7 linked regions of the Macaca fascicularis genome follow. The protein of the gene in region 1 interacts with the protein of each later gene in a pairwise test. Links are inferred from orthologs where the notes say so. Each region holds a gene or a part of one and is shown in the gene's direction. Other genes may lie near its edges. The genes, in order: MTUS2, TP53RK, TLE5, FAM161A, DCTN4, CRY2 and SNW1.

Evidence for each region.
Region 2: the proteins of MTUS2 (region 1) and TP53RK interact in binary tests that used the Homo sapiens proteins (3 or more experiments, as listed by UniProt). The two-hybrid records come from large-scale screens. The link is inferred for Macaca fascicularis from reciprocal best matches to the Homo sapiens genes MTUS2 and TP53RK.
Region 3: the proteins of MTUS2 (region 1) and TLE5 interact in binary tests that used the Homo sapiens proteins (3 or more experiments, as listed by UniProt). The two-hybrid records come from large-scale screens. The link is inferred for Macaca fascicularis from reciprocal best matches to the Homo sapiens genes MTUS2 and TLE5.
Region 4: the proteins of MTUS2 (region 1) and FAM161A interact in binary tests that used the Homo sapiens proteins (3 or more experiments, as listed by UniProt). The two-hybrid records come from large-scale screens. The link is inferred for Macaca fascicularis from reciprocal best matches to the Homo sapiens genes MTUS2 and FAM161A.
Region 5: the proteins of MTUS2 (region 1) and DCTN4 interact in binary tests that used the Homo sapiens proteins (3 or more experiments, as listed by UniProt). The two-hybrid records come from large-scale screens. The link is inferred for Macaca fascicularis from reciprocal best matches to the Homo sapiens genes MTUS2 and DCTN4.
Region 6: the proteins of MTUS2 (region 1) and CRY2 interact in binary tests that used the Homo sapiens proteins (3 or more experiments, as listed by UniProt). The two-hybrid records come from large-scale screens. The link is inferred for Macaca fascicularis from reciprocal best matches to the Homo sapiens genes MTUS2 and CRY2.
Region 7: the proteins of MTUS2 (region 1) and SNW1 interact in binary tests that used the Homo sapiens proteins (3 or more experiments, as listed by UniProt). The two-hybrid records come from large-scale screens. The link is inferred for Macaca fascicularis from reciprocal best matches to the Homo sapiens genes MTUS2 and SNW1.

Annotation. Positions count from the first base shown.
Region 1 is NC_088391.1:8,910,583-8,914,847, forward strand, and holds the start of MTUS2 (microtubule-associated tumor suppressor candidate 2), read left to right. Parts: upstream 1-1,443; 5' UTR 1,444-1,444; coding exon of another isoform or gene 1,445-1,540; 5' UTR 1,541-1,646; coding exon 1,647-3,893; intron 3,894-4,265. Other genes in the region: uncharacterized protein, read left to right, coding at 1,445-1,540. UniProt on the Homo sapiens protein: Binds microtubules. Together with MAPRE1 may target the microtubule depolymerase KIF2C to the plus-end of microtubules. May regulate the dynamics of microtubules at their growing distal tip.
Region 2 is NC_088384.1:102,741,279-102,745,410, reverse strand, and holds the start of TP53RK (EKC/KEOPS complex subunit TP53RK), read left to right. Parts: upstream 1-1,320; coding exon 1,321-1,603; exon of another isoform or gene 1,604-1,788; intron 1,789-3,756; coding exon 3,757-4,132.
Region 3 is NC_088393.1:3,763,057-3,767,179, reverse strand, and holds the start of TLE5 (TLE family member 5), read left to right. Parts: upstream 1-1,320; 5' UTR 1,321-1,333; coding exon 1,334-1,561; intron 1,562-1,700; exon of another isoform or gene 1,701-2,063; coding exon of another isoform or gene 2,064-2,090; intron 2,091-2,370; exon of another isoform or gene 2,371-2,642; intron 2,643-2,987; coding exon 2,988-3,085; intron 3,086-4,123. UniProt on the Homo sapiens protein: Transcriptional corepressor. Acts as a dominant repressor towards other family members. Inhibits NF-kappa-B-regulated gene expression. May be required for the initiation and maintenance of the differentiated state.
Region 4 is NC_088387.1:60,093,780-60,097,336, forward strand, and holds the end of FAM161A (protein FAM161A), read left to right. Parts: intron 1-1,134; coding exon 1,135-1,289; intron 1,290-2,100; coding exon 2,101-2,245; 3' UTR 2,246-3,526; downstream 3,527-3,557. UniProt on the Homo sapiens protein: Involved in ciliogenesis.
Region 5 is NC_088380.1:157,634,051-157,638,316, reverse strand, and holds the start of DCTN4 (dynactin subunit 4), read left to right. Parts: upstream 1-1,448; 5' UTR 1,449-1,474; coding exon 1,475-1,609; intron 1,610-3,974; coding exon 3,975-4,045; intron 4,046-4,266. UniProt on the Homo sapiens protein: Part of the dynactin complex that activates the molecular motor dynein for ultra-processive transport along microtubules.
Region 6 is NC_088388.1:20,015,726-20,019,845, reverse strand, and holds the start of CRY2 (cryptochrome-2), read left to right. Parts: upstream 1-1,266; 5' UTR 1,267-1,279; coding exon 1,280-1,494; intron 1,495-4,120. UniProt on the Homo sapiens protein: Transcriptional repressor which forms a core component of the circadian clock.
Region 7 is NC_088381.1:145,686,490-145,690,046, reverse strand, and holds part of SNW1 (SNW domain-containing protein 1), read left to right. Parts: intron 1-959; coding exon 960-1,076; intron 1,077-2,427; coding exon 2,428-2,569; intron 2,570-3,557. UniProt on the Homo sapiens protein: Involved in pre-mRNA splicing as component of the spliceosome. As a component of the minor spliceosome, involved in the splicing of U12-type introns in pre-mRNAs.

The DNA of each region.
Region 1 (4,265 bases):
TATTACAAATTCATCATTATAGGACGACCTAGTCAGTCAGGAAGGCTTCCTGGAGGAAGTGGTAGTTACGTTGCATATTGAAGGATGCAAAGGACTTGTTAGATGAGGCTGGGGGATGGTTCCACATTCCATGCAGATGGAAAAGTATGTGGAAAGGCCCTGAGGCAGGGAGTAATGAACATGGTACTGTGAGGAATGAGGCCAATGTGGCAGCAGCCTGCAGAGCAGATGGTGAGGTGGGGATGAGGCCAGAAAGGTGTTCAGGGCCTGATCATGCAGGCCGCGAAGGCCGGAATGAAGCGTTTCCCCCAAGTTTTTATTTTGGAAAATTTCAAACTTATAGAAAAGCTGCAGATGTAGTAGAATTCTTAATTAGATATTCAAATGGTTGACTTTTGCCAGTTTCTTTCTCTCTTTTGCACACATATGTCTCCTTCTCATATGCACACACACATACATACACATGTTTTTCTTGGTTGAATCATTTGAGAATAAGTTAGAGAAATCATGACATACTACCCCTGAATTCTAAAGCATGGATATTTCAAGAACAAAGATGATCTCTGGCATAATTATAGCACGATTATACACCCAAGGAAATTAATTATGACATACCTGTACCTTATATACAGTCCATATTTACATCTCTCATTGTCCTAATAATATCCTTTGCTAACATATTTTGAAAATCCAGCCTCTGCTGACTTTTTTTTTGGGACCAGTTAGGCCAGTTATTTTGTAATACATACCTCAATTTAAATTCGCCAGGTTATTTTCTCATGGTTAAATTCTGGTTGAACATTACTGCATAGGTGATGTGTGGCCCTGAGAACTAACTAATATCAGGAGTCCGTCATGTCAGTTTCGATACCAGTGATGTTAAATTTGATCACGTGGTTAATGTGGTGTCTACCAGATCTCTCCATTGTAAAGATCAAATTTTCTTTTTGTAAGAAATAAAGTAGCTGGGGGGAAGATACTTTAAGCATCTATAAATATCTTGTTCCCCAACAATCTTTTACCCAATGTTTGTACCTTTGGCATCCCTTGTGCAAGATAATTATTAATGCAGAGATTGCAAAATAGTGATTTTTCAAATTCTGTAAATTTTTTTCTACATTCGTTGATGCTCTTCTGTAAAGAAGAGCCTTTACTTCTCCTCCACCCTTTTAAATCAGTATCAGTATAGACTTGTGGATGTTTAAAATTTGGATTTAAGATTTCACATGCATTTATAATCGATTTCTAACATTAAACATTCTGATGTTTAATTTCTGTCCGTATTTGGTCAGCAGGAGCCCTGATCAGAAAGGTTTTTGAGAAAACTATCGAGTGAATGAAATAATAGTATAGAAATGACGAATAAATCTGTGTTTACCACTTTTTTCCTCCTGAGAAGTTCTATTTGTCCATCTAATGTGAATGTATTTTTATTTCTCTCTAGGTTTCACGGACTAATTGGCTCTCATTCAGCCGGAACCTAGTTCCTGCTGTATATCAAGAGAATGCTTGCTTTTCAAGCTCTTCTGAGAATGATTAAAGCAGTGTCACAAGCTGACATTGTCAGGGGAGGACAAGCAGCCTGAGAATTTCCTATTAATCTGATTGCAGCTTGAAGGCAGCCCATTTCCATTAAGTAGGACTGCATGGCAAGCAGCCCCACCAAAGGGTTGACAATGAGCGTCCCAGTGGCTCCTAAGAAATCATGTTACACTCAGCTGCGGGACAACAGAAATGCAGCAAGAAATAATAATGAGAGCATCCTAAGTCTGGGAGATACAAATGCCAATCAAATCATGTTGGAGGTCAGCTCCTCTCATGATGAGTCCAAGACATGTGACCTGGAAGATGAAATTGGAAATACAAATTCAAGTGAGCCAGAAAACCGTACCCATTTCCATAAGGAATTTCACCAACTTCAGAGCTTTGAGAAGGGATCTCAGCCTGGCTCCACCAGCCTGAAAGATTTTAGACTTTCTTCAACCATTCAGAGGGAACTCAATGAGGAGCACACAATGGAGAGAGGCGCAGATAGCCCGCAGACCCCGCGGAGTATCCAGGGACCGAGTCTGTCGAGTTGGAGAAATGTGATGGGTGAGGCCAGTCTAGACGTTTTGGCTAAAAGGGATGCTGAAATTCCCCGGCACGTTCCCAAGGATAAATTGGCAAAGACCCTCAACAATGAGGAACTGAGGAGGCATTCTTTGGAAAGAGCAAGCAGCTCTGTAGCTGTAGTCGGGAGCCTGACTCCGCAGCATCCACAGCCTGCACCCCTTGACTCCCAGGAAGCACGGGGTCAGGTGCCTGGGGGTGGGGAGGGGCCACAGAAGACGTTGCCAGACTGCGCTCTCCCGGCAGCGTTCCCTCCAACTGACAGTACCTCACAGGGAAAGAGTGTGCGTCATCCTAAACCATCTACCTCAGAGACCAAGCAGAGCACCCCCTCAGAGACCCAGACAGTGGGAGCACATGTACTGCAGGCGTGCAGTGAGCACATACCACGTTCCGCCCATCCAGAGCCTGCTCTGAATCTGACTTTGACATCGAGGGAAATCCCGAGTAAGCCAGAAGCACAATTAGGTCAGGGAAAGGCAGAGGCCAAGCTGGAGCTGAAATATGTTTCACCCAGGAGGGTTGAACAGGAGGGAAAGGCAGCCCAGGAAGGGTATCTGGGATGCCACAGGGAAGAGAATCTTTCAGCGTTGGAGGGAAAGGATCTGTGTGGGGAGGCGCACCCAGAAACCACCGATGCACTTGGCTCTCTGCCAAACAGTGACCTCCACCACCTTGGGGTGGGAAGAGGCAACAGTGAAGAGAAGAGAGGAGTCAACCCAGGGAAGCCGGATTCTCTCCACGCCACCCCCAAACAGGCCTCTGCTTCCTTAGGAGGGGCTGATAGTCAGCCCACTGGCAACATTTCACCATGTGCAGGTGGGAAGTTGGGTGAAAGGACATCCGGCAGCTTTTCACCAGGTGATGGTCATGTGGCTTTTATTCCTACTAATCTGACTGACAGCAAACCCTTGGATGTCATTGAGGAGGAAAGGCAGTTGGGCAGTGAGCAACCCACAGTGGACAAGGACAGTGTTACAGTTCTGGTGTTCAATCCTTCCATTGGAGAGAGCCAGACAGAGGTGCCTGAGCCCCTGGAACCTCAAAGTGGCAGCTCAGAAGCACGGGAAAGCAGAGAGATCACCACATCTGTTGCTGAAAGCAGGAACCTTCTAGAGAATGCTGATAAGATTGAACGCACCTCAGCAAGAGTAGATTCAGTTCTCAATATTCCAGCACCCCTCCTCCCAGAGACAACTGTGAACATGACCCACCAGCCTACAACACCCAGTAGCCGTTTTCAGGATGTTAGCGTGTTCGGTATGGATGCAGTGTCCCCCTTGGCGGTACCACCCCCTGCTGATAGTGCACGCTTGTCGAACACATCCCCCAAAGTGCCTGACAAGAACGCCTGCCCCAGTGGGATCCCCAAGCCTGTCTTCACACATTCCAAGGACACACCTTCCTCGCAGGAGGGAACGGAGAACCATCAGGTTGAAAAAACAGAGGAGAGGACAGAAACCAAGCCCGTCATTATGCCCAAGCCCAAGCATGTGAGGCCCAAGATCATCACCTACATCAGGAGGAGTCCCCAGGCCCTGGGCCAGGTGGACGCCTCGCTGCTTCCAGTGGGGCTTCCATATGCCCCGCCCACATGTACCATGCCTCTTCCCCATGAAGAGAAGGCTGTGAGTGGTGACCTGAAGCCGTCTGCCAACCTCTATGAGAAATTCAAGCCAGACCTGCAGAAGCCAAGGGTCTTCAGTTCCGGATTGATGGTGTCTGGAATCAAGCCCCCAGGACATCCTTTCGGTCAAATGAGTGAAAAGTTTTTGCAGGAGGTAAGAGAATGTCATCATGATATGGTCTGTAAGTTGACTGTCCCAAAATCTGTGACATATTTTCAATGAGTTATGAAAGTAAAATGTCCTCTTTAAGTGAATTGCAGATTTCCATGGATACACTGGTGAAGAAATGGAGTCTTTGACTAGAGGAGATTGTCTAGAGAAATGACCATTTTTAATTAGAAGAGTCTGATTCTCTTAATAAGATGCACCCAGTATCTCAGGAGACCCATTGAAATTTCACTTGCTATAATTCGTATGAAATTAGATGAGTATGCATTAAATAGGCTTCCATGTTTAAATAAGTGAATATAATATAAGCCAGGTCAAAGGAAGAAAGAATGCCAAATTACTGTATTCTTCAAATAG
Region 2 (4,132 bases), on another chromosome or scaffold:
TTTAAGTGTCCTCATCCCCAAAATGATGAGTATGTTAGGTAACATTAACTAGCTGGATTTAGCCACTCCACAATGTACACATATTTCAAAACATGTTGCTCATGATAAATACGTACAATTTTTAATTTCCCTTATGTACCTCTTCATCTGGCTGTTCATTTTTTATCTTTTATACTATCTTTTATAATAAACTGGCAATAGTAAGTAAAGTGTTTTTCTGAAAAACAACAAACTGGAAACAACTGCTTAGCAACAAGAAACTGCCTGACCAAGTAGAAGGATGTGGTAGTTCTGTATGTACTGATATGGAATATAGTCCGAGATAAATTGTTTAGGAAAATGAAATGCAAGTTGCAAAAGAACCCACAGTATGATGTCATTTATGTTGGAAAAAAGGCCACAATGATGTGTGAGTGTGCGCACTGAATAAAAGAAAGTTCTGGAAAGAAACTAACGGCCAGCGGTGTCACAAGGAGGATGGGCAGTTTATTTATATGTGTGTGTGCGCGCAAAGTTCCGTATTGTAAGAATTTGCTACAGCCTGTGTTATTAGCTTTGTAATGAAACAGGTAGAAACTGAAAAAGTTTAATTCCTCCCAATTCAGTTTAGGTTCTGTCTCCGGAAAACTTTCCTGGATTCCCCAGCCCCCACTCCCCGCCCCATCCCACCACCCCCACTGCCCTCTCTGAGTCTCAATTTTCTTTTCTGTAAGGATTTTCATCATTTAATCTTATTTCTTCTGAATGCACTAAATGGTAGTTATCCTAGCACTTAAGAGGATGTCGGAAACACGGTTCATTGTCTGACCCTTCCGACACTGACTAGTATGAGTACATTCTGGGGGGAATTTAGGAGTCAGGGGAAGAGGTGTTCCAAAAAGACACTACTAGAGGGTGCACCTGTCCAGGAGGAGACTCCTTAAGTGAGCAAAGAGCGTCCGACGTTTTTCTCGAGAGGAGCTGAAGTTCTCCGGAAAGAGACGACCAACTGGGAGGTGATCTCCCAAAACCGGTTGCGGGAATCACCGAAGATTTCCGGAGAGCCAAGGAGTAGGGAAGAGCCACTTACCGAGAGTTGCCGAACGTGTACGGAGATAGCCGAAGAGGTGAAAGGCGGGGCCACAGGAGCCCTTCCTGCAGGGAACCCAAGGCTTCAGAGAGCCGAAAGGTTGGGAGGCGTAACCACTCACAGGCCGGAAGTGTCCGGGGCGGAAGCGTTCGGGTAACCGAAGAAGTACCAGGATTTCCGAAGCGAGCCGAAGCATCGCGACAGTTTTCAGAGAGAGCGGGTCGGTCGGAGCTGTACCGCCGAGCACAGTCATGGCGGCGGCCAGACCTGCTGCCCCGGACGATGGCGAGGAGCCCGCGCCAGAGGCTGAGGCTCTGGCCGCGGCCCGGGAGCGAAGCAGCCGCTTCTTGAGAGGCCTGGAGCTGGTGAAGCAGGGCGCCGAGGCGCGCGTGTTCCGCGGCCGCTTCCAGGGCCGCGCGGCGGTGATAAAGCACCGCTTCCCCAAGGGCTACCGGCACCCGGCGCTGGAGGCGCGGCTTGGCCGGCGGCGGACGGTGCAGGAAGCGCGAGCTCTCCTCCGCTGCCGCCGCGCGGGTAAGGAGGGCCCGGATCCTGGCGTGGGCGGCCCCGAGGCTCTAGGGCCTGGGCGGGTGAGGGACTCTCCTGCGCTCCGAGCCACGGTTTGCCTCAGTTTCTCCTTCTGTGCCTTCTGCCGTGGCCAGCCTTTCGGAAATGTTATTCTTTCATCCCTTTCTTCATTCGTTAAGTCTTAAGAAACCACGTGGCCTTGCAGCGTCAAGCGTTTGTCCTGGGGCCGTTCTGCCAGGTTCAAATCTGGACGCTGTCATTATTGCTCAACGTCGAACATCTTTAACTTCCCTGAGCCTTGATTTCCCCATTTGACTCGTTTCAATTTTCGATCATTATCTTTTCATTTATTAGTTTTAAGAAACATGTAATTACAAGTACTTGCCCCACTGGAGCCAGGCTGTCTGGGTTGAAATACTAACTCTGCTGCTTATGTAGCCTTTCAACAAGTTATTTAGCCTCTCACCTTCGGTTTTTTCACCTGTAAAATGGGAGACATAGTAGCAATATCCATGTCATAGGGATGTTGTGACCATTAGAGGAGGTCTGTGTGCAGTGTATTATGTTCGAATGTGTGCCTGGCACATAGTGCTCAGTAAGTGTTGGATTTCATTAAATTGCCTATTTATTGTGCGCCAGCGCCATAAACCTTGTCCTCAGTTGAGAAAGTGACACTCAGAGAGAAGTAACTTGCCCAAGGTTACACGGCTACTAAGTGGCCGGTCCAGGCCCTCAGCTCCGTATGCCTCTGACTCAGAAGTACTGGCTTTTTAATTTTACGCTTCGTGCCTTTCTTTTATTAGTATTTTTTAGGTACTTGTGGGTGCCAGGACATTGTTAAGTGCTGGGAGATCTAGCAAGGGGGGACATTCAGTAGCCAACAAGCAGACACATTGCTGCCCTTTCAGAGACTGAAGATTTCACGAACTTATTTGTGTGTTCATATTTCTGTTTTCAGCCTCTTATGATATGTTTCGTTAAGCAGAGATTGTATTATAGCTGGCTTGTTTATTGCTGTATCCCCATTGATACATCTCTCAGTTTCTAGAAAAGTATACTGAGCCTGGTTGACTTTCAGTAAAAATTCATTTGAGTTTATTGTAGCAGAAACTGAGACTTAGAGAAGTTAATGTAATTTTTTTTTTTTTTTTGAGACGGAGTCTCGCTCTGTCCCCCAGGCTGTAGTGCAGTGGCCAATCTCGGCTCACTGCAAGCTCCACCTCCAGGGTTCACGCCATTCTCCTGCCTCAGCCTCCAGAATAGCTGGAACTATAGGCGCCTGCCACCACGCCTGGCTAATATTTTGTATTTTTGGTAGAGACGGGGTTTCACCATGTTAGCCAGCATGGTCTCGATCTCCTGACCTCGTGATCCACCTGCCTTGGCCGAGAAGTTAATGTAATTTTAAGATTAGATTAGACAACTAATAAGAAAAGGAGCTGGGATTTGAACCCTGTCCTCTCTGACTGTGAAGATGAACCTCGAAGCCAGCACACTGCTTGGCCTCCTGTTTGTGTCCTCATCAGTAGAAACTGCTCTGACTGGGCTGTGCCTTGCTGTTTGTTTTTGTATTTTGAGACAGTGTCTCACTTTGTCACCCAGGCTGGAGTGCTGCAGTGGCGCAATCTCGGCTTACTGCAACCTCTACCCCCTGAGTTTGAGCTATTCTCCTGCCTCAGCCTCCCGAGTAGCTGGGACTACGGGTGCATACCACCACGCTCTGCTAATTTTTGTATTTTTAGTAGAGATGGGGTTTCACCCTGTTGGCCAGGCTGGTCTCGAACTTCTGACCTCTAGTGATCCGCCTGCCTCGGCCTCCCAAAGTGCTGGGATTACAGGCATGAGCCACCACACCCAGCCTTTGTTTTGTTTGTTTTTTAGAGAGTGAGTGTGACAAATGAAGTTCAGTGAGAAAGGGTGGTTTGGAAGGGAGGAGGAAGCTATGGCCTCCTCAGTTTAGCTGTGGGGTGGTCCCAGGTATAGTCCTGCAGGGGGCAGGAGCAGGGGAATATTCCATTCAGTTGTACCATTCCCTGTAGCATTCCTAAATCATCCTGAAATAAGTAGATATAGATGGAAAAACTGGCTTAATCTTTGAAAATTAAGTTTATCCATTAAAAAAAAATCCAACCCAATAACCACTTATGTCTTGATTTCAGGAATATCTGCCCCAGTTGTCTTTTTTGTGGACTATGCTTCCAACTGCTTATATATGGAAGAAATTGAAGGCTCAGTGACTGTTCGAGATTATATTCAGTCTACTATGGAGACTGAAAAAACTCCCCAAAGTCTCTCCAACTTAGCCAAGACAATTGGGCAGGTTTTGGCTCGAATGCACGATGAAGACCTCATTCATGGTGATCTCACCACCTCCAACATGCTCCTGAAACCCCCCCTGGAACAGCTGAACATTGTCCTCATAGACTTTGGGCTGAGCTTCATTTCGGCACTTCCAGAGGATAAGGGAGTAGACCTCTATGTCCTGGAGAAGGCCTTCCTCAGTACCCATCCCAACACTGAAACTGTATTTGAAGC
Region 3 (4,123 bases), on another chromosome or scaffold:
CCACCAGGTCCCATTCCTCCTCTTCCCACGGCTCTCCAGGATTCCCACCTCACTCAGAGCAAAAGCACAAGTCTAAAGCCAGGTGCGGTGGCTCACACTTGTAATCCCTGCACTCTGGGAGGTAGAGGCGGGAGGATCACCCAACGTCAGGATTTCAAGATCAGCCTGGCCAATATAGTGAAACCCATCTCTACTAAACATACAAAAATTAGCCAGGCATGGTGGTACGCACCTGTAATCCCAGCTACACGAGAGGTTGAGGCAGGAGAATCACTTGAACCCGGGAGGCGGAGGTTGCAGTGAGGCAAGATCACGTCACTGCATTCCAGCCTGGGCAACAGAGTGAGACTCCATCTCAAAAACAAACAGCTGGGCAAGGTGGCTCACGCCTGTAATCCCAGCACTTTGGGAGGCCGAGGCAGGTGGATCACCTGAGGTCGGGAGTTCAAGACCAGCCTGACCGACATGGAGAACTCTCGTCTCTACTAAAAATACAAAATTAGCCGGGCGTGGTAGCACGTGCCTGTAATCCCAGCTACTCGGGAGGCTGAGGCAGGAGAATCACTTGAACACGGGAGGCAGAGGATGTAGCGAGCTGGGATCGTGCCATTGCATTCCAGCCTGGGCAACAAGAGTGAAACTCCGTCTCAAAAGCAAACAAAAAACAAACCACCAGGTCCCATCCCTCCTCCTCCCACAGCCTTCCAGGGCTCCCACTTCACTCACCCAAAAACCCAAGTCCTCCCCATGGCCCACAAGTCCTTGCTGGACTGGCCTGCTTCACCAGCTACAGAGTTAGCAGGGCCCAGTGCAAAAGAAAACTGAAAGGCCCCTTGTTCAAAAATGATTAGGAATCTCAAAATGCAGCACTAAATATTAACCCAAGCACAAGCCCTGCTGAGGAGTGGGGGGGCCTGGGCAAATGCATGAAGCCCCAGGCCCTGCCTCCCTCCGGCCTTCCTGACCTCCGCCCTGGCACCCTGATGCCAGGCACAGTCCTGCCCCAGGGCCTTTACACCTGCTGGTCCTGCCTCTGAGTACCTCTGTACCCCATCCCCCTGTTCTCTCTCCTTCTTTGGGTCGTTTTAGGGGCGGAGGAAGCTCTCTCTGATCCTCCCTGCCACCTGTTTAACTTTGCATCTTCCTACCCTGCCATCCTCCCGGCTGGTTTTTCTGCAGAACCGTCCCCACCATCTGACCTGCTGGGAATTCAGCTTGTTAATTTGTCTCTGTCTGTCTCCAGGCACCACCACCAGAGCAGGGACCCCCCACCCCCGCCCCCACCACAGGGCCCTGGAGCAGCAGGCCCTGGCACACAGTAGGCGTTCTATAAATGTGTCGCAAGAATGGCTTCCCTGAGAAAGGCGGCATTACCGCTGCCTTTCTGCAGAAAAGGAAACTGAGGCTCAGCGAGAACCACCGCCCAGCCAGAGCCAAGGTCACAGAGCACGTCCGTGGCACGCGTCCAGGTCGTGCCACGGCAGGGCTGGCGGCTTCGACGCGGGCAGCCGGGTCCCTTTTCTTTGACAGATGGGGAAACCGAGGCCCGGCCTGCTGCCGGGTTGGGGGGGGTGGCGGGGGCCGCGGCCCGGGGCGGGGGCGGGCGGGGCCCAAGGTCACCGCGGCGGGCGGGCCCTGGGGAGGCGGGCCGGGGTGGGGATCCGCAGGCCTCCCCGGGCGCGCGCCTCCCCCCCCTCGGCGGCGCGCACGGGGCACGGGCGGCGGCGGCAGGTGGAGCCGGAGCCTCTGCATCAGCCGAGCCGCGGCCACTGCCGGCGTCGCCGCCATTAGACAATAGCGGTGGGGCCGGGGAGCGGGGAGGCGGGCGGCGGGGAGGGGCGGGGAGGGGCGCCGGGCGCGCAGGAAGCGGGGCCCGGGGCGCGCCGGGGCCGGGCGCGCGGGGAGGGGGCGCAGGAAGCGGGCGAGGCCCGGCGCGGGAGGCGGCGGCGGCCCCGGGAGCTGCCGATCGGCGCCGGGACAAAGGCGCGGCCGCCCGGCGCCCCCAGCAGCCCGAGCCGGGGCGCACAGCCGGGGCGCAGCCCGCGCCCCCTGCCGCGACTGACATGATGTTTCCACAAAGCAGGCATTCGGTAAGCGGGGTCCGTCCGGCAGGCGCCCCCACCCCGGATCCCGGCCCTGCGCTCCCCACCCCCGGCTCCCGGCCCCGCGCCCCCCACCCCCAGGCCCGGTGCCTCCGGCCCGGCACCCCCCCCAACTCCCCGGCCCTGTCTTCCCTCTCCAGCTCCAAGCCCGGCGCGACCCCCCTCCTGCCGCCGGCCCCCGGACACCCCCCAGTTCCCGATCCACCCCAGCTTCCGGGCCCCGAGCCCCCCCGTCCCAGCTCCCGGCTTGGCGCCCCCCCCCCTCGCCGGGACAGGCAGGGCCTCGGACGGCCTTGGCCTCGGGCCTGGGGCGCTCCGGGAGCCCCGCCAGGCACCTCTAGCGCGGGGATCCTTTGGGGGCCTGTGGTGGGGGGGCGATCCGAGGCGCACCCCTCCCGGAAGAGCGCGTCCCCGAGGAAGGGCGCTGGGAATCTGGGGTGGGCCCCCCGGGAAGATTTCGGGCGCCGAGAGACCCCTCCCCCAAGAGGGCTTTGCTGGGAGGACTCGCTGCCCCCCAACTTGGGGAGGGGGCTCCCTAGGGTGCGTATCCACCCCCCTCGGATGTGCACTCCCTCCCGGCGCTTTGGAGGGGCGGTAGAGGGCGCACCCTGCCCCCCATCTAGGGCAGGCCTTAAAACGCACCCCCACTGCTTGGAGGTGGCGGGGGTCGGGGCGGCTCCGGGCGCACCCACCCTCTCGGCTTCCCCCGGGAGAGGCGGGGGGCAGGAAGCGCGGGTGGGGGCCGCGCCAGGGGCCGTAAACACGGGCCCAGGAAGTGGGGCAGGAGGGGGGGCGCCGCAGCTGCGCGGCCGCTCCCTCCCGGCTGGCCCTCGAGGGGGGTCCAGCCCAAGCCAGGGCCTGACCCGGGCCGCCCCTTCCCCACAGGGCTCTTCGCACCTACCCCAGCAACTCAAATTCACCACCTCGGACTCCTGCGACCGCATCAAAGACGAATTTCAGCTACTGCAAGCTCAGTATCACAGGTGAGCTGGGGGGCCGAGGGTCCCTGCGTCCCGAGAAGGTGAGCCCCCCACCCCATTTCTTCTGCGCAGATGGCAAGGCTGAGGCCTGGAGGGGAGATTGGGAAAATAATGTATGCTAGACTCTGACCTAATACTTGACAAATAGGGAATTCATTTTTTTTAAACAGCTGCATTCTGTGGAGGACAAAACTGAGGCACAAAATAAGTTAAATAATTTGCCCAAAGACTCAGCTGTGTGGCTTCAGAGCCCCTCCCTCCTACCCAATCCCCCCAAGTCCCCCCTTGGATAAAAGACAATTGGAGTTAGGGCACAGACTCGCCGTCCCCCCAACCCCCAAAACAAACATTTTGCAGCCTGGTCATCTCTCTTTGCCCAGTTTTGGAGAAAGGGTTCCCAGCATCAGTCAGATTCTCCCAGGTGCTTCTTTCAGAAATCTCCTGGCGTTTCTGAAGAGCTTGCCATGCTGTGGTATCTAAGGGGAAGGAACTATTTAGTCCTTTTACACTTAAAGAAATTTAATCCCAGGCCGGGTGCCACCGGTGGCTCACGCCTGTAACCCCAGCACTTTGGGAGGCTGAGGCGGGTGGATCACTTGAGGTCAGGAGTTCGAGACCAGCCTGGCCAACATGGCGAAACCCCGTCTCTACTAAAAATACAAAATTAGCCGGGTGTGGTGGCAGACGCCTGTAATCCCAGCTACTTGGGTGGCTGAGGCAGGAAACTTGCTTGAACCCGGGAGGCGGAGGTTGCAGTGAGCAGAAATCGAACCACCACACTCCAGCCTGGGTAACAGAGAGAGACTCGGTGTCCGAAAAAAAACAAAAAAAAAAAAAAAGAAGAAGAAACTTAAGCCCAGAGAGGTTATTTCCTCGGGGATGTCCGTAGCGTTGAGGAAGTGGCAAGGCTGAGGTTTGCACCAGGTCTCTCTCCTGGTTTAAGGTTTAAGGATACAGATTTTCACCTGCCCTACTCTGGAGGGGCACGCCGGGCCTGGGAATCTGGAGGAAGTCAGGCTACGCTCAAACCCCCGTTTGGCC
Region 4 (3,557 bases), on another chromosome or scaffold:
ATCATTAATGAATTGGGGATATGGCTCATAAAGAGTAAAAATTACAGTAGATACATAAAATAAAAGAATTTGGCTGGGCGCCATGGCTTATGCCTATAATCCCAGCACTTTGGGAGGCCAAGGCGGGTGGATCACTTGAGCCCAGGAGTTTGAGACTATCCTGGACAACATAGTCCCATCCTACAAAAAATACAACAAGCCCCATCCTACAAAAAATACAAAAATTAGCAGGGCATGGTGGTGTGCGCCTCTGGTCCCAGCTACTCCAGAGGCTGAGGTGGGAGGATCGCTTGAGTCCAGGAGGTTGAGGCTGCAGTGAGTTGTGTTCACACCACTCCAGCCTGGGTAACAGAGCAAGACCCTGTCTCAAAAAGAAAAGAAAAGAATCCTCTGACAACAATTATTGCATGAAATCTTTTTTTCAGATATCTTTATAAACAGTCATAAAAGTATATAAAACCTAGGTACAATATAAAAAATAATTATAGATCAATCTAATGTGGCCGCCACCCATGTTAACAGACCATTGCCCGCACCCCAAAAACCCTACGTGCCCCTTGCAAATCACAGCCCTTCTGTCTCTCCCCAAGAGGTAACCACCATTCTCTCGGGATAAGTACTTCCTTGTTTTTCATTGCAATTTTACAGTGTGTGTACCTATCCTCAAACAATATAGTTGTTTTGCCCATTTCAGAACTTTATATAGATCATACAATATGTACTTGTTAGTGCTTTGCTTCGTTTGCTCAGTATTATATTTGTGAGATCCATCCATGTTGTGGCATGTAACTGTAGTTCATTCATTTTCATTGCTTTATTTTACTCCATTATAGGAATAGACCACAATTTATTTATCCATCCTTCTGCTAATAGATATTTGGGTGATTTCCAATTTGGGGTTATTGAAGGACAGTACTATCCTGAACATTCTTGTATATGTCCTCCCTTGGGACACATATGTGGGAGCTTCTCTGGGCATATTCCTAGGAGTGTAATTGTTGGTCATAGGGTATGCAGATTTTCAACCAACTGTGACTGCTGAACTTAATTATCACTGGCACTTTTAATCCATACATTTTTAATGAAAATTTAAAGTCTTCTGTTCTCGTCTAAAAGGGTTTGTCTTTCCTATAGAAAAATGCAAGAATGGCAGCAGAAAAGCATTATTCTAATACCCTAAAAGCACTAGGAATATCTGATGAGTTTGTTTCAAAGAAAGGCCAAAGTGGAAAAGTACTTGAGTACTTCAACAATCAAGAGACAAAAAGTGTCACTGAAGACAAAGAAAGGTAACATGTATAAGATGTCTGAATGGCTTACCTTTGAAAAAGTATTACCTGCAGAAAAGCACAATTTTATACTATATATATTTTTTGTTCTATATTGTTTTAAAAAGATCTTTTACCCAATAGTAAAAGACGTGTGAACTGTTGTAAAACATACTGATATTTTAACATGTTTGACACATTAACGTTCACATGAAGTATTTTATTTTTAAAGCAGAATAACTTAGATTTCTTACTGACATAAGTAACAAAAATAATAGCATGCTTTCAAATGAAGTTTAAAGAATCACTCAAATTTTGAAATAGGGCAGGCGCGGTGGCTCACGCCTATAATCCTAGCACTTTGGGAGGCCGAGGCAGGTGGATCACAAGGTCAGGAGATCGAGACCATCCTGGCTAACATGGTGAAACCCCGTCTCTACTAAAAATACAAAAAATTAGCCGGGTGTGGTGGCGGGCGCCTGTAGTCCCAGCTACTCGGGAGGCTGAGGCAGGAGAATGGCATGAACCTGGGAGGCTGAGCTTGCAGTGAGCCGAGATCACGCCACTGCACTCCAGCCTGGGTGACAGAGACTCCATCTCAAAAAAATAAAAAAATAAAAATTTTTGAAATAAATTAATTTTCAGGAATATTAAATTTCTCAATGGGCACTTTTATAGCATTTTCTTTCTTTTTTTTGAGCTGTCTTGATAACAAATTGGAATTCATACACTTGAGGAAGACTGGCTACATGGTGGCATACTTGCAGAGGGTTTGTTTACTTTTAAACTAACTCATTTTTCCTTTGAAAGATTGATAAATTTCTTCCCCTAGCTTTAATGAAGAAGAAAAAATAGAAGAAAGAGAGAATGGGGAAGAAAATTATTTTATTGATACCAACAGCCAGGATTCTTACAAGGAAAAAGATGAAGCCAATGAAGAAAGTGAAGAAGAGAAATCTGTTGAAGAATCACACTGAATCATCAAGGTCTTCTCTCTATGCCCTTGCTGTTGTTTGCAGCGTCAGGGTGTCAGCAGCTGCATTTGTGTTTAGAACATCTGTGGGGATGCCTCTGATATGTGCAGGGCTGTTGATCAAAGTCATCTGTAGCCTGAAAAGCCTGAATCCAGCTGATTGGTCATTTGATCAGTTAGAGTAAGGCTTTGCCTATTCAGTTTTAAAAATCACTGGATATGATCTGTTTGCAACTATGATTTTGTATTTTTAAAAAGTGTTTCAGAACCACAGCTGTCACAAACTGATTAGTTTTAAAAAAATACATTATTTCATTAATTTTACTGGAAAAAATGGCGTAGTATTGAAAGCAGAGAGAAGTATTGGTCTTTGGTGATTTACTTTTTAAAAATTTTGGAAAGTGTGAATCAATAAGTATTTTTAATTATACTATTTGCCCATTCTTTTTCTCTGCAATACATTTCACAGAATAAATCCTCGAACTTGTTTTGCTGCTCTGAGCCATTTTTAAAAGTATAGAAAAAAAATAGATACTTGCAAATTTACATTTATTTTTGCACTGAAAGTTTACTGTTAAATTGTCTACACCATCATCCCTTTTTCTTTTTATCCTTAGTTCTAGTCCAAATTATTTTTGATATTATTGGGAAAGTTTTTGTACTAGCTTTTTTAACCCTATGTATTATTACAGATGGAAGGAATTATGGCATGTGCTAAATTAGGGGCAAGTATCCCTGTTTTATATATGATGAAATTGTGCATAATAACTTGGCTAAGGCAAGTCTTCAAAGTAATTCAGATTTAATTCTTTACTGCTAGACCCAGTTGTGTTCAACTTTTTACATATTATTGCCAACACGCTTTGTCTCTCTGTGTACAATGTTAATCTGATTTTATAAATCTATAATTTTTTTCTGTAAGCAAATTTTTGTTTTAAAATTTGAAGTCAGTCATAAAGATAATACAGCATAAGACATTTTCTTCTCTAAAAACAATCAGCATCATTTTAAAAGGATGAACTAATACAGGTGTATGTAATAGCAGTGTTTCCCAACTGGCAATTTATGCTTTAAATTAAAAAGTAAGGTCGTTTTTCTCCATTGGGGCAAATGTTTACTCGTAATTTTCTCCCTACAGTTTGTGTTAAATTGCTTTTCACTATTATTATATTGTAAACTCCTTGGGAGTTGGCACCACTTAAAAATTCATCTTTGTATTCCCTTAATATTTGGCACAGGATTGTACATATGGTAGGTACTTAATAAAGGTTTGAATGAATGTGTAGATGAATATGGTTTTTATACACTTACAGCTA
Region 5 (4,266 bases), on another chromosome or scaffold:
CTGCAGAGAGTATACATAGGGGTTATGCCTGGAAGCACTAGAATCAGACAGAAAAGGGTTCTACCTCTATGAAACCTTACAGATGAGTCACTGCACTTCCCTGTGCCTCAGTTTCCTGCTCTGTAAAATAGAAATAATGATAGCCACAAGCCTTTTGGAGTTGTTGTAAGAATTAGACAATATATGTAAAGTTTTGACACAGTGTGCTGCATTTAATAAGTGCTCAATAAATGTTTGCTAATAGTATTCAGTTCCCTTTCTCCTAAATCACCAACTCTAATGTCAGACAGGTAAATAATACAACACTACTACAATTATAAAAACGCAGACCTGGTAGCAGGCAACAGAGGCTCCAGTTTCTGCTAGGCAATTCTAGGTGGTCATTTTACATACTGTGGAGTCCCAATGAGAGAAAGGGAGTCAGGCTAGTAGGACCAAGGGAAAGCAAAAAGAGCAGATGCGCTCTAAGTCTGCCTTTCTTCATGGTGCAGGACACATAGCCCTCCTGTGCAAATAACTCACAATCTTCCTGCACTCAGCTATCACGAGACACATGCAAGTTAGCTCCCTGTAACCTTGGAGTTATGGGTATTGCACAGCACTCTGCAGCCCAAGAACCATCCGATAAAATCTCCAGCAAGTCTTTGTTTCCTTGAAGTCAGCTCCTCTCTGGCTGGTCGGCCCACTGCAACTTTTCAACGTATTTCCATACCTTTTCTAATACATCTGCATTTCTTTTAGGTTGAATGTATCAACCTAAAACTGTTGATATATTCTTTTCCCACTCACGTAATACCAGTCTCACATAGTCGCTGCTCACCCAAGACGCAGACCTGAGCCTTAGTTTACACATGAGAAAAACGTAGATGCCTACCAACATTGTTCATTCATTGATTTCATTCCCTCCTTTCATACTTATTGAAGGTCCACAATACACACTTAGACCTAATGCTAACTCTGTACTCAAAACCTGCGTGGAGGAACTCACAGCCTGAGTTTCAAGCGAGATAATGTATGTGAAAGTTCCCAAAGGCCATTGGCAAGACTCAGAAGACAGTGCTGGTGTGACTCTTGTCTTTCAGTCCCCACGGAGCCCTGTCCCTTTGAGACCTTCCATTTGTCTCCTGGATGCTCACCTGTTAAGTGGGGCAGGGGAGGCCGTAGTAAATAAGACAAAAGAGCTGCCTTCCATTCTGGAAGAAAAGAATAAAAGGAGCTCACTGAGTCCAGACCTAATGACAGGAAGAGCAGTGGACGCTCACACAACCGCTGGGGCACAGGCCCAGGGTTGGGGAGAAAACTGGGATCCCAGCTGCGCACGCGCGCTCTGGTTTTCGACGGGCGCAGAGCAGGACGAGGTGGGAAGCCTAACGTCAAAGTCTACGTAGGAAGACGTAGGGAAGGCAGCTAGGAAGACGCTGGCTCTCGGGTCACGTGATGCGGCGGGAGGTTCGTCGGCTCCTCCCTCCCCAAGATGGCGTCGTTGCTGCAGTCGGACCGGGTTCTCTATCTAGTCCAGGGAGAAAAGAAGGTTCGGGCCCCGCTCTCGCAGCTCTACTTCTGCCGCTATTGTAGCGAACTGCGGTCGCTGGAATGTGTGTCTCACGAGGTAAGGGAGTCGCCCCATAGCGAGTGTGGGGGGTGGGGGGCGCGGCGTTCCTCCTAGTCACTGCCACCAGCGGGCTGGAGCTATTTTCCTTCCTTACTGATTGGTTATGTCTTCCGTCACTCGGCTTTGCCTGCGATTTGATTTGCTTATAATCTGTCACTTGGAAAGGAGGAGCAGCCTCGGGTGGGGCTGAGAGGATCTTCTGGTTCTAGAGCGGCCTCTGATTGGACAGACTTGACTTAGGGACCGTGTCTGTCTCCGATGGGGCTTTGTAATTGGGTGGACTACAGAGAAAGGTCTGGGGGTGCTTAGTTCAGTTCATTAGAGGGGCGAAAAACTGCCTTTCCAGCTTTTATTGCGAGGATGGAGGAAGGCGCAGGCGTTCTCATTCATGGTTCTCCCATCGTGGAAGTTCTGCTCCTCTTTTGTCCAGAAATTGGGCCCTCCTCAGACTGCCCTTGCCCTGTTCCTGACTCAGGCCAAGGCCCGCAGCCGGGGAGAGGTTGGGGCGGCGTGAGTTATGTGCAAAGCCCTCAGGATACAGTATGTCATGTAAGAAGCTGAAAGTGTATTCATGGAGCTAGAGAACGATCTGTCCTTCCCTGGCATGAGCGGGCGTCCGAAGTTGGATTTTTCAAAAAGAAGACGACCCCGGCCAGTAAAAAGTCACCAAATAACAAAACCCCAAAACTTCTGCAGCGCTTGGCACATCTTGTTTATTCAGTAGGCTTAAGGGATTAAAAGGCGAGTAAGACATAACATGCGCTGTTTAATAAGCCATAGTCTAGTGAAGAAAAAGCTGATAGTAATAATAGTTGCTGCTTGTTCGATACTTGCTATATGTCATGTGATTTATGTAATCTTCTGTCCAAACCAATGAAGTGGATACCTTTAAGAAAATTTTTTTTTACAGGTAGAGAAACAGATACAGACTGTTTGCTGTAAGTCACACAGCCAGTAATTTGGGGGTGGGAGGGAGGGCCTGGATTTGAATCTAAACAGCCTAACTCAGAGTGTTTTTTACTGAAGATCCCGGGACTGTTAAAATAAGTGCACATGAAAACACATACTATAAACTATTTAATGTGTTATTAATAACTTATTTTATTGAAGATACTTTTCATAATAGAAATAGTCAAGAAAAGCAATAAAATAATACAAGAAAAATCGTAAAAATATGGCATTGATTTTTCTTCTTATCTCCATTAGCACTTTCCTTGTGTGTATCTCCTTGATGATTCCCTATTCCAGCTCCACCTCCAGAATTTATTGGATCATATTCTTCTGTGGTGAACAGAGTGCTCAGTCTCCATGATCTGTCTCTAAGGGTCTCTTCAATTAGGACATCCAGTCTGTGACAGCATCTTTTACAGCCTGATGTGTACCTGTGATGTGGAGGCCATTAGAGTTTAGGGAAAGATGAAGCTCTGAGGGCTGGGGCAGGCCGTGGACGTTCTAATGGAGAATCTGGATCTGGAGCTGCACATGAACAGACAAGCAGAATATGGAAAGGGGGCAAAAAGGAATGATTTGTATTTTGCCTTTTTTGATGAGTCAGTGCAGGTACTAGCAATACTGTATTTTGTGTTCCTGGAGATTATTTGAACAACAACTTTATTAATCTTGTCAAATTGACCTGTTTATAGCAAATGATGAAAAAAGTCAGTTTCTGTCATAGTATTTATGTTCCAGTGATTGTCTCTTCATTTGCAGGTGACTAGAGTTCTGTAATTGTCAAATAGGACCTACATTAAAGAAAATAATTATTCAGACTTTGAAAAAGTAAAATGAACTTAATTTTTTGACTCCCAGTTTTTTTAAGTACAATAAGACTGTCCCATTAATTTGTTTAAGAATCTCTAATTGGTTGGCTGTGGCTGACTATGTAAATATTTATGCTTTCCTTGAGTCAACCTGTATTACTTCAATAATGAGAAATCTTTAAAAAAATTTCCTTCAACAATTAAAGTATGGTCAAGTTTTTATAGTCATATAAAGCTAGCCTAGACAGGAGGATATTTTATCACAACTTTACAAATTGAATTGTTTTATTAAACTCTTCATTAGATTATCATAGAATTCTATGGAGTTCAATTGGAAACTGTAGATTGTTAAATAAACAACTTTCAACACATAAAATCTCAATGATGGAATAGGAGAGATGAGAAAAATAGAAGGGTTTTTTAAATCCAGAAGGAAAAAAAAACACACAAAAACAAAAAACAGGTGACTGAAGAATAAACCCTAAGCTGAGAACAGTCTACCTTCTGCTACAGTATAACATATTTTAAAATTCACTATTTGACAAGACATATACACAAGTTAAACTGAGTTCTCCTCTTTCTTTTTTCTTGTTTCCTCCTAGGTGGACTCCCATTATTGTCCCAGTTGTTTAGAAAATATGCCGTCGGCTGAAGCCAAACTAAAAAAGAATAGGTAAGACCTGGATATATATATTTCTTTCCCTGTTTTCCTTGACTGTTCTCTAAAATAGCTGGTTGAAAAGACACATGGGCCAGGCATGGTGGCTCACACCTGTAAACCCAGCACTTTGGGAGGCTGAGGCGGGGATCACGAGGTCAGTAGATCGATACCATCCTGACTAACATGGTGAAACCCTATCTCTACTAAAAATACAAAAAATTAGCTGGGCGTGG
Region 6 (4,120 bases), on another chromosome or scaffold:
GAGTGGTGCCAATTAATGCCACTAAATTGCAGACTAAATTGCTAAATGCTTTCATCACACTGTCCCAGGTCCAGGAAGGGTTCCAAGCATGGGCTCAACCTAGGGCCAAGTTGAAACTGACTGTTCTCCACCTGATAACCCCAAAGCTGCAGCTTGACTAAGCCATCTTAGCCTTCCCCAACACCTTGTTGCTGGTGTTTATAGCTTCTCTTGCCATTTAGTCAGTCAATCAGCAAGCTCTATGCTAGACGCCAGAGGAATAAGAGGGTTCCACCTGGCGTCCCAGAAGAATGGGGACAGTGTCCTCCACATCTCTGAACCCCACCCGGAATCCAGTACAGTGCTTTGCACACAATAGTACCACTGGATCTACTAAACAGACTAAAAGAAAATAAATTCATCTGATGGCATAATTACGAGCTCAAGTCCTCCACATTCCCAGTCCCTACTCCCAAATCCTCTAATGCTGCGTATCAGGGCACTCCTTCTCCATCCTTGGACTCTGCCACTTGGAATTACCAAGGATCTTCGCACAAAGAGAAGTATAGCTTCGTGGATAAAAGCAGAAGTTTCAAAATCAGAATAATATGGGTGAAATCCCTCTTAGTAGCTTTATGATACTGAGCAAGTCGCTCAACCTGCGGCACCCTCCATTTTCTTCATCTGTAAAACAAAAATAACAGCAGCTCTTCCACTGGTGTTCGTTAAATGAATGTAACTGGGCTGAGTTCAGAATAGTAAATGAGACCGACTACGTAAGGAGATGATCATGTCTCTTGCCATATAAAGTGCACTTAATAAATGGCAGTTGTAGTAGAATGATGTAGATGATGCTGGTGACGATGTTGGTGATAATAGGAAGGTCAGTTGTCAGTTTTGCAAGTCTCTGGCTGTAGTCACAGCAACCCCTACCAGCCCAGGTAGCTTCTTCTAGAAGCAGGCCCTGAACAGGACATGTGTAAGAGATCCGCTGTACCTCGAGACTCGGCCCACTCCCGGCCCTCCGCGGACTGTGCCAGCCTGCGTCACTTGTCCGCCTGCCAGCTCCACCCAGGCGGACCCACACATGGTAGGAACGTGAGGGGGCGGGGCCTGTTCTGGCGTCTCTGGGCCAATCGCCGGGCGGGAGGCACTCAGCCAATGGCACAGGGGCTCTAAGGCCCTGGGGGCGGGGACGAAGGGAGGAGCTGCGGCGTCATAGGTCACTGGGCGGTCTGTGGGCGGGGTCCGCGTCGCCTACCGGGGCGGAGCGGGGGTGGCCGGAGCAGTCTGGACAGTCATGGCGGCGACTGTGGCGACGGCGGCAGCTGTGGCCCCGGCGCCAGCGCCCGGCACGGACGGCGCCTCTTCAGTGCACTGGTTCCGCAAAGGGCTGCGGCTCCACGACAACCCGGCGCTGCTGGCGGCCGTGCGCGGGGCGCGCTGCGTGCGCTGCGTTTACATTCTCGACCCGTGGTTCGCGGCCTCCTCCTCAGTCGGGATCAACCGATGGAGGTGAGGGGACCCGGGGCGGGGTGGCGGGGACGCAGCCAGGACCCTGACCCTGGGGTGACCGGCAAACAGCACGATTCTCTCAACCTCTCCACGGCTGTGAGGCCGTGGAGAAGCCGAGACCGGGGAAGTAATTCGTCATGGTCCTAACGCGCCGGTGGGCCAGGGCTCAGCCTCTGACAAAGCGCGTTCGCACTGTTACCCCTCTGAGCCTCACAACTGCCTGTGGAACGGAGATCATGATCCCCGTTGTACAGATGAGACCCTTGGGCCCTGGAGACCCAAAGTCGACCTGTCCAAGGACTTGCAGCCAGTGAGTGGCGGAACAGGGGCTCCTGGTCTAGGGCTCTTATGGTCTACTCAGGGAGGGGCAGAAGGAGATACTGTGGTGTGAGGGCGGGACGGGTTTTTGCTCGCATTCTTCAAGTAAAGAGCCCATTGCTGGGCTCGGGGAGATCATTCCTAAGCCTCTGGCTTGTTTGAATCCGCCCTACCACCCATCCTGGCTTCCCTGCGCCCAGACCGTCCTGCCTCTAGGGGTGTCAGGTGACCCTGGCTTAGCATTAAATAAAGTCTTCTCCCCTATATTATAAATAAAGAAGCCAAAGGTGTCTTCAGGTGGAATCGCGTTGTGTTCAAAGCTCCAGAGAATCCAGGGGATTCTCCAAAATGGTTTAAGCCCTGCTCTGGAGCTTTGACCTCGATAAAAAAAATTTAAAAGGATCCAAAGTGTCACCCCGTCATCCTCTTGTCATGATTTTAGAGGACAGTTGAGCCATTAGAGATGAGACTTCTATGAACTGTTGTGCTAAGGTTAGGGAGCAGGAAAGCCATGATATCAAGGGCCCCTCTGATGACCCCCCAGGAGATGGAGTCGACATGATCATGGAAAAAGATGAACAGGTCGTTAATGTATTTTCTTTGTAAGCAGTATTCAAATTAAAGAGTTTTGAGACATCATGTACCCATCGCTCTTCAGAACACCTAGTGGCAGTCGCTGGGTTTGTTTACATTGTTCTGGGGAATGTTTGCTTGTGGCCTTGTTGCACTGATGGACAGGGTTATTTCCAGGATACCGTGGCTCTCGGCACACCATTCTTTTCTCTCCAAGGTGTGTACCCTGCTAAGAGAGTGAGTGCTCCTAGCAGTAGGTCTGTTCAGTGTCCCCTCTTGCCCAGTTTATATAGAAGGAACAATTAAAGAGTCCTGTGGAGAGCCTGCCCACAGTTTTCAGGCTGCCTTATTGCTCTGTCTCTGCTCCAGTTTTCTACAGATAGGAGGTTGGGTTTGACAAGCATCATCAAATGACCATCCCTAGTGTGGACATTAAGCCAAGCCTCAGACTGCCCTGCACCAGTCAGAGCCAGCCAAATGGAATCCGACTACCTTCTTGTTACATTGTCACAGAGTTTCTTCTTTTATTGGGTTTTGGGGGACACTGCCTAGTACTACCTACTCTTTTTTGATAGGGGAGATTAAAAATCAACAATAAAATTCCTGTTGATTAAACTCCAGTTTGCTAGGAACCAGGTGTTTATGGATTTTTGTGGGTTATCGTTTTGTGATTGTGCTGTCAATCTAGTGAAGGAGAAAAGGAATGTGGCTTAGATGCCTGAGTCAAATCCTGAAGTCAGAGGCTGTGTAGGAATGCAGATATTAATTGATTACTTAATGAATGCCTAATATCTGCCAGGTAGTGCTCTAGATGTTGCTAGGGATACAGCAGTGAATAAACAGATGTGTCTGTGCTCCAGAACTCCTGGAGCCTACATTTTATTGAAAGAAGACCAGCAAACAACCATAATTTAGTGAAACGAAGTGCCATGAGAAACATAAGATAAGGGGACAGACTAGAGCAGTGGTTCTCAATCTTGGCTGCTATGTATTGGAATCCCATAAGGATCTTTAAAAGATGCCTGGGCCCCTTTCCCCCAATTCTTTTTTTTTTTTTTTTTTTTGAGATGGAGTTTTGTTCTTGTTGCCCAGGATAGAGTACAATGGCACAGTCTGGGCTCACTGCAACCTCCGCCTCCCAGGTTCAAGCAATTCTCTTGCCTTAGCCTCCCAAGTAGCCAGGATTACAGGCGGCCACTGCCACATCTGGCTAATTTTTTTGTATTTTTAGTAGAGACAGGGTTTCACCATGTTGGCTAGGCTGGTCTCAAACTCCTGACCTCAGGTGATCTACCCACCTTGGTCTCCCAAGCTGCTGGGATTACGGGGCATGAACCACTGTGCCCAACCCCTTTCCCCCAGTTCTGTTAGAATTGTTCTTGGTTATGGCCTGGGCATTAAGGTTTTGGGGTTTTTTGTTTGGTTTTGGTTTTGGTTTTTGGTTTTTGGTTTTTGGTTTTTGGTTTTTGGTTTTTTGTGGGGTTTTTTGAGACAGGGTCCTGCTCAGGTGACAACCCAAGCTGAAATGCAGTGGCATGATCATAGCTCACTGCAACCTTGACCTCCTGGGCTCCAGCGATCCTCCTGCCTCTGCCTCCCAAGTAGCTGGGACTGCAGGCTTGCACCACCATGCCTGGCTAATTTTTGTATTTTTTGTAGAAATGAGGTTTCACCATGTTCTCCAGGCTGGTCTTGAATTCCTGGTCCTAAGCAATCGCCTGCCTGAACCTCCCAA
Region 7 (3,557 bases), on another chromosome or scaffold:
TGGTCTTGAACTCCTGGGCTCAAGCAGTCTACCTGCCTTGGCCTCCCAAAGTGTTGGGATTACAGGCTTGAGCTACTGCACCCAGCCTTTTTTTTTCTATTTACTAAAACTTCAGGGTTCTAAGAATATAACAGATCATTAAGAGAGTACAGCAGATTTAACTTCCTATAGATGCTAAGATTATAGTGATTTATTCTGCCTTTGTTTGACTGTTACATTTATTTGAGGAGCAACTGTTGAACTGTTTGACACTGATTTCCTTTTATTAAAATCCACAATTATCAGCACAAGTATCTATTTTTCCAGAGGTTGGGTTCTGAAATCCTACTGTCTGAGTTTAAATCCTAGTCCTCCACTTATTTTAACGGTATGACCTTGGGGATGTTACCAAAGCATCAGTGAAATGGACACAATGTTAGAAGCTTTATAGAGTTATTATGAAGGTTAAATGAGACCATAGATGTGTTTGATCTTCTGCATAAAGCACTCATTGATAGCTGCTGTTATTTTGCGTCGTTGTGAAGAAAGATATAAGGAAAAAGAACCCCAGTTAAGTTTAAGTGGGTCCTAAAATGTGGGCATATTTTAATTTAATTTTAGCCAGGCTTGATGGCTCGTGCCTGTAATCCCAGCACTTTGGGAGGCTAAGGGTGGATCACCTGAGGTCAGGAATTCAAAACCACCCTGGCCAACATGGTGAAACTCTGTCTCTACTAAAAATACAAAAACTAGCTGAGTGTAGTGGCACACGCCTATAGTCCCAGCTAGTTGGGAGGCTGAGGTAGGAGACTCACTTGAACCCAGGAGACAGAAGTTGCATTGAGCCAAGATGGCACCCCTGCACTCCAGCCAGGGTGACAGAGCCAAGACTCCAGCTCGAAAAAAATTAAATTAATTTAACTTCAAATAATTAATTGAAGCACTTCTGTGACTGGGTTTTCTGTCTGCTTTCACCCTAGGGTTATACAATTCCATTAGACAAACGTCTGGCTGCTGATGGAAGAGGACTACAGACAGTACACATAAATGAAAATTTCGCCAAACTGGCAGAAGCCCTCTACATTGCTGATCGGAAGGTTGGTTGGTTATAATTTGTTTAATGCTCTTGTTACTTTTAAAATCCATTCTTGGTTACCTAAGGTACTGATAATTTAACTATAGTACCAAGCACCCAGAGAGAGTCTCACCCATGGTACGTGTGTCAGAAATGGCAGCTGCTAGTTGGCAGCTGTCTGCATGCTCCTAGCCTTTGTAGATGTGTACATACACCCCACAATGGTGATCCGGCTCCCTCACAACATGCCAGAATAATGATTTGCTGGGGATGATCCCATTTTGTGAAGACTGCTAGGTTTCGTAATTCTTGATTTCAAATTTTCCTGTATTTTAGATGTAGCTGTCCCACAAAAAGGCAGTTGCAGGCAAAGACAGATAAACATTCTAATGAATTGAATGCTACATAAAATGGCGTTCATAGCATTGGCCATCTATTAATATTGCATAATGTATTAAATATTATGAAATTAGGCCAGGCACAATGGCTCATGCGTATAATCCCAGCACTTTGGGAGGCCAAGGCTGGTGGATTCCTTGAGATCGAGAGTTCAAGACCAGCCTGGCCAATGTGGTGACACTCCATCTCTACTAAAAATATAAACATTAGCTGGCGGGCACCTGTAATCCCAGCTACTTGGGAGGCTGAGGCAGGAGAATCTCTTGAACCCAGGAGGCGGAAGTTGCAGTAAGCCAAGATTGCACCACTGTACTCCAGGCTGGGCAGCAGAGTAAGACACTTCATCTCAAAAAATATATATAAATATAAATATTATGGAATTAATAAATGATATTGAAGTTCACATGCATCATAGCATGTGTTTAGAACATAAAAAAAAGTCTTGTATCACAGTGAGTTCCTTATAAAAATTATCTAGCAGATGTAAGTTAAGATTTTATCTTGAGTTGACTTGATTCATTTTGAAAATGTAACCAGTCCCTTTTTATTTATTGATTTATTTTGAGATGTATCTCACTATGTTGCCTAGGCTGGTCCCAAGCTCCGGAGCTCAAGCAGTCCTTCCACTCTGGCTTCCCATAGTGCTAGGATTACAGGAGAGAGCCACTATGCCTGGCTTTACTTTTGTTTTTTAGATTGTTTCTGAGAAAGCATTAGTGAAACACTTGATTTACAAGATTAATTGGGGTCACTATAGTTTCAATCACTAAAATATTCCCAGAGAAGAAAGCTGACCTTGCAGTGTCTTCCAGGCAGGATATCTTTTAGTGGACAAGATTCTTTGTTTTAATTAGCAGTAACAAATCTGAATTCTGTATGATTGCTCTTACCAGCCAGATTTTAGGGAGCTGGATGACAGCCATAAATATTTATCCCATGATAGTGTCCTGTTTAACATGTGACTTTACTAACAGGCTCGTGAAGCTGTGGAAATGCGTGCCCAAGTAGAGAGAAAAATGGCTCAGAAAGAAAAGGAAAAACACGAAGAGAAACTTAGAGAAATGGCTCAGAAAGCCAGGGAGAGAAGAGCTGGGATCAAAACTCACGTGGAAAAAGGTATGACATTCTCATTACTGAATTGAATTTTACTTGGTGAACAAAATACATCTATTTTAGAAAATCTTTTTTTTCCTACTGCATATAAAGTTAGGTACATCTAAACAAAATTTAGATACTTCAGATATAGTGTAGAAATGGAGAGTAATCTCTGCCTTAGTAAACTGAAGCAACAGGAGATAATAAAAAAGTGGGTCTTCAGTTTGGGACTGTACCAGAAGTTTTTAAACTTCTGAGCAATGTACTTTTAAAAATTGCATTATTACTCAAATGATAGGCTTGATTTTCTCTTATTTTAATCTCAAAACTTAAGAGAAATTAGGTATCTAACTGAATAATTCCACTCCCTCATATGGTGAAATAATCCGGAGTTTTTCTACCTTGTAGGCTCTAATGCATCATTAAATCTGCCAGTATTTTCTCTCTGACTTTACTTAGTGGTCTACATTGGTGTATTAATTCAATTAGAATGGGAAGTCGAGTCCTAATTATAATTCAAGAAATTCTGTGAGGGTGGTTTTTTTCATTACTGAATTCTTACCTGGTACATTTATTCATTCTTTCATCTATTTAGTTCATATTGAGCATCTGCTGTGTGCAAGGTTCTCTTTTAGACACAAGGTGTTTTTGCTAGACAGTGGGTAGGGGGATGGGATATAACAATCAACATTCTAGTGAGTGTAGACAGACAAAAGTTAATGATGTAGTATAGTAAAAGGTAATAATTGATATGGAAGAAAAATAATACAGGGAAGGAGGATATAAAATTGCTGGAAGGTGAGAGTGGTCAAATAGCCCTCGCTTCTGAGATGGTACTGTTAGCAGAAATACTTGAAGGAAGTAAGGAAGCAAACCATGTGGATTTCTGGGGGAAGAGCATCCCACACAGAAGGGCCAGCAGGTACACGACTGAGATGGAAGTATGCCTAGTGTGGCTCAAGGAAGAGCAGGCAGGCCAACGTGACTGGATTGTATGAGAAAGAAGGGG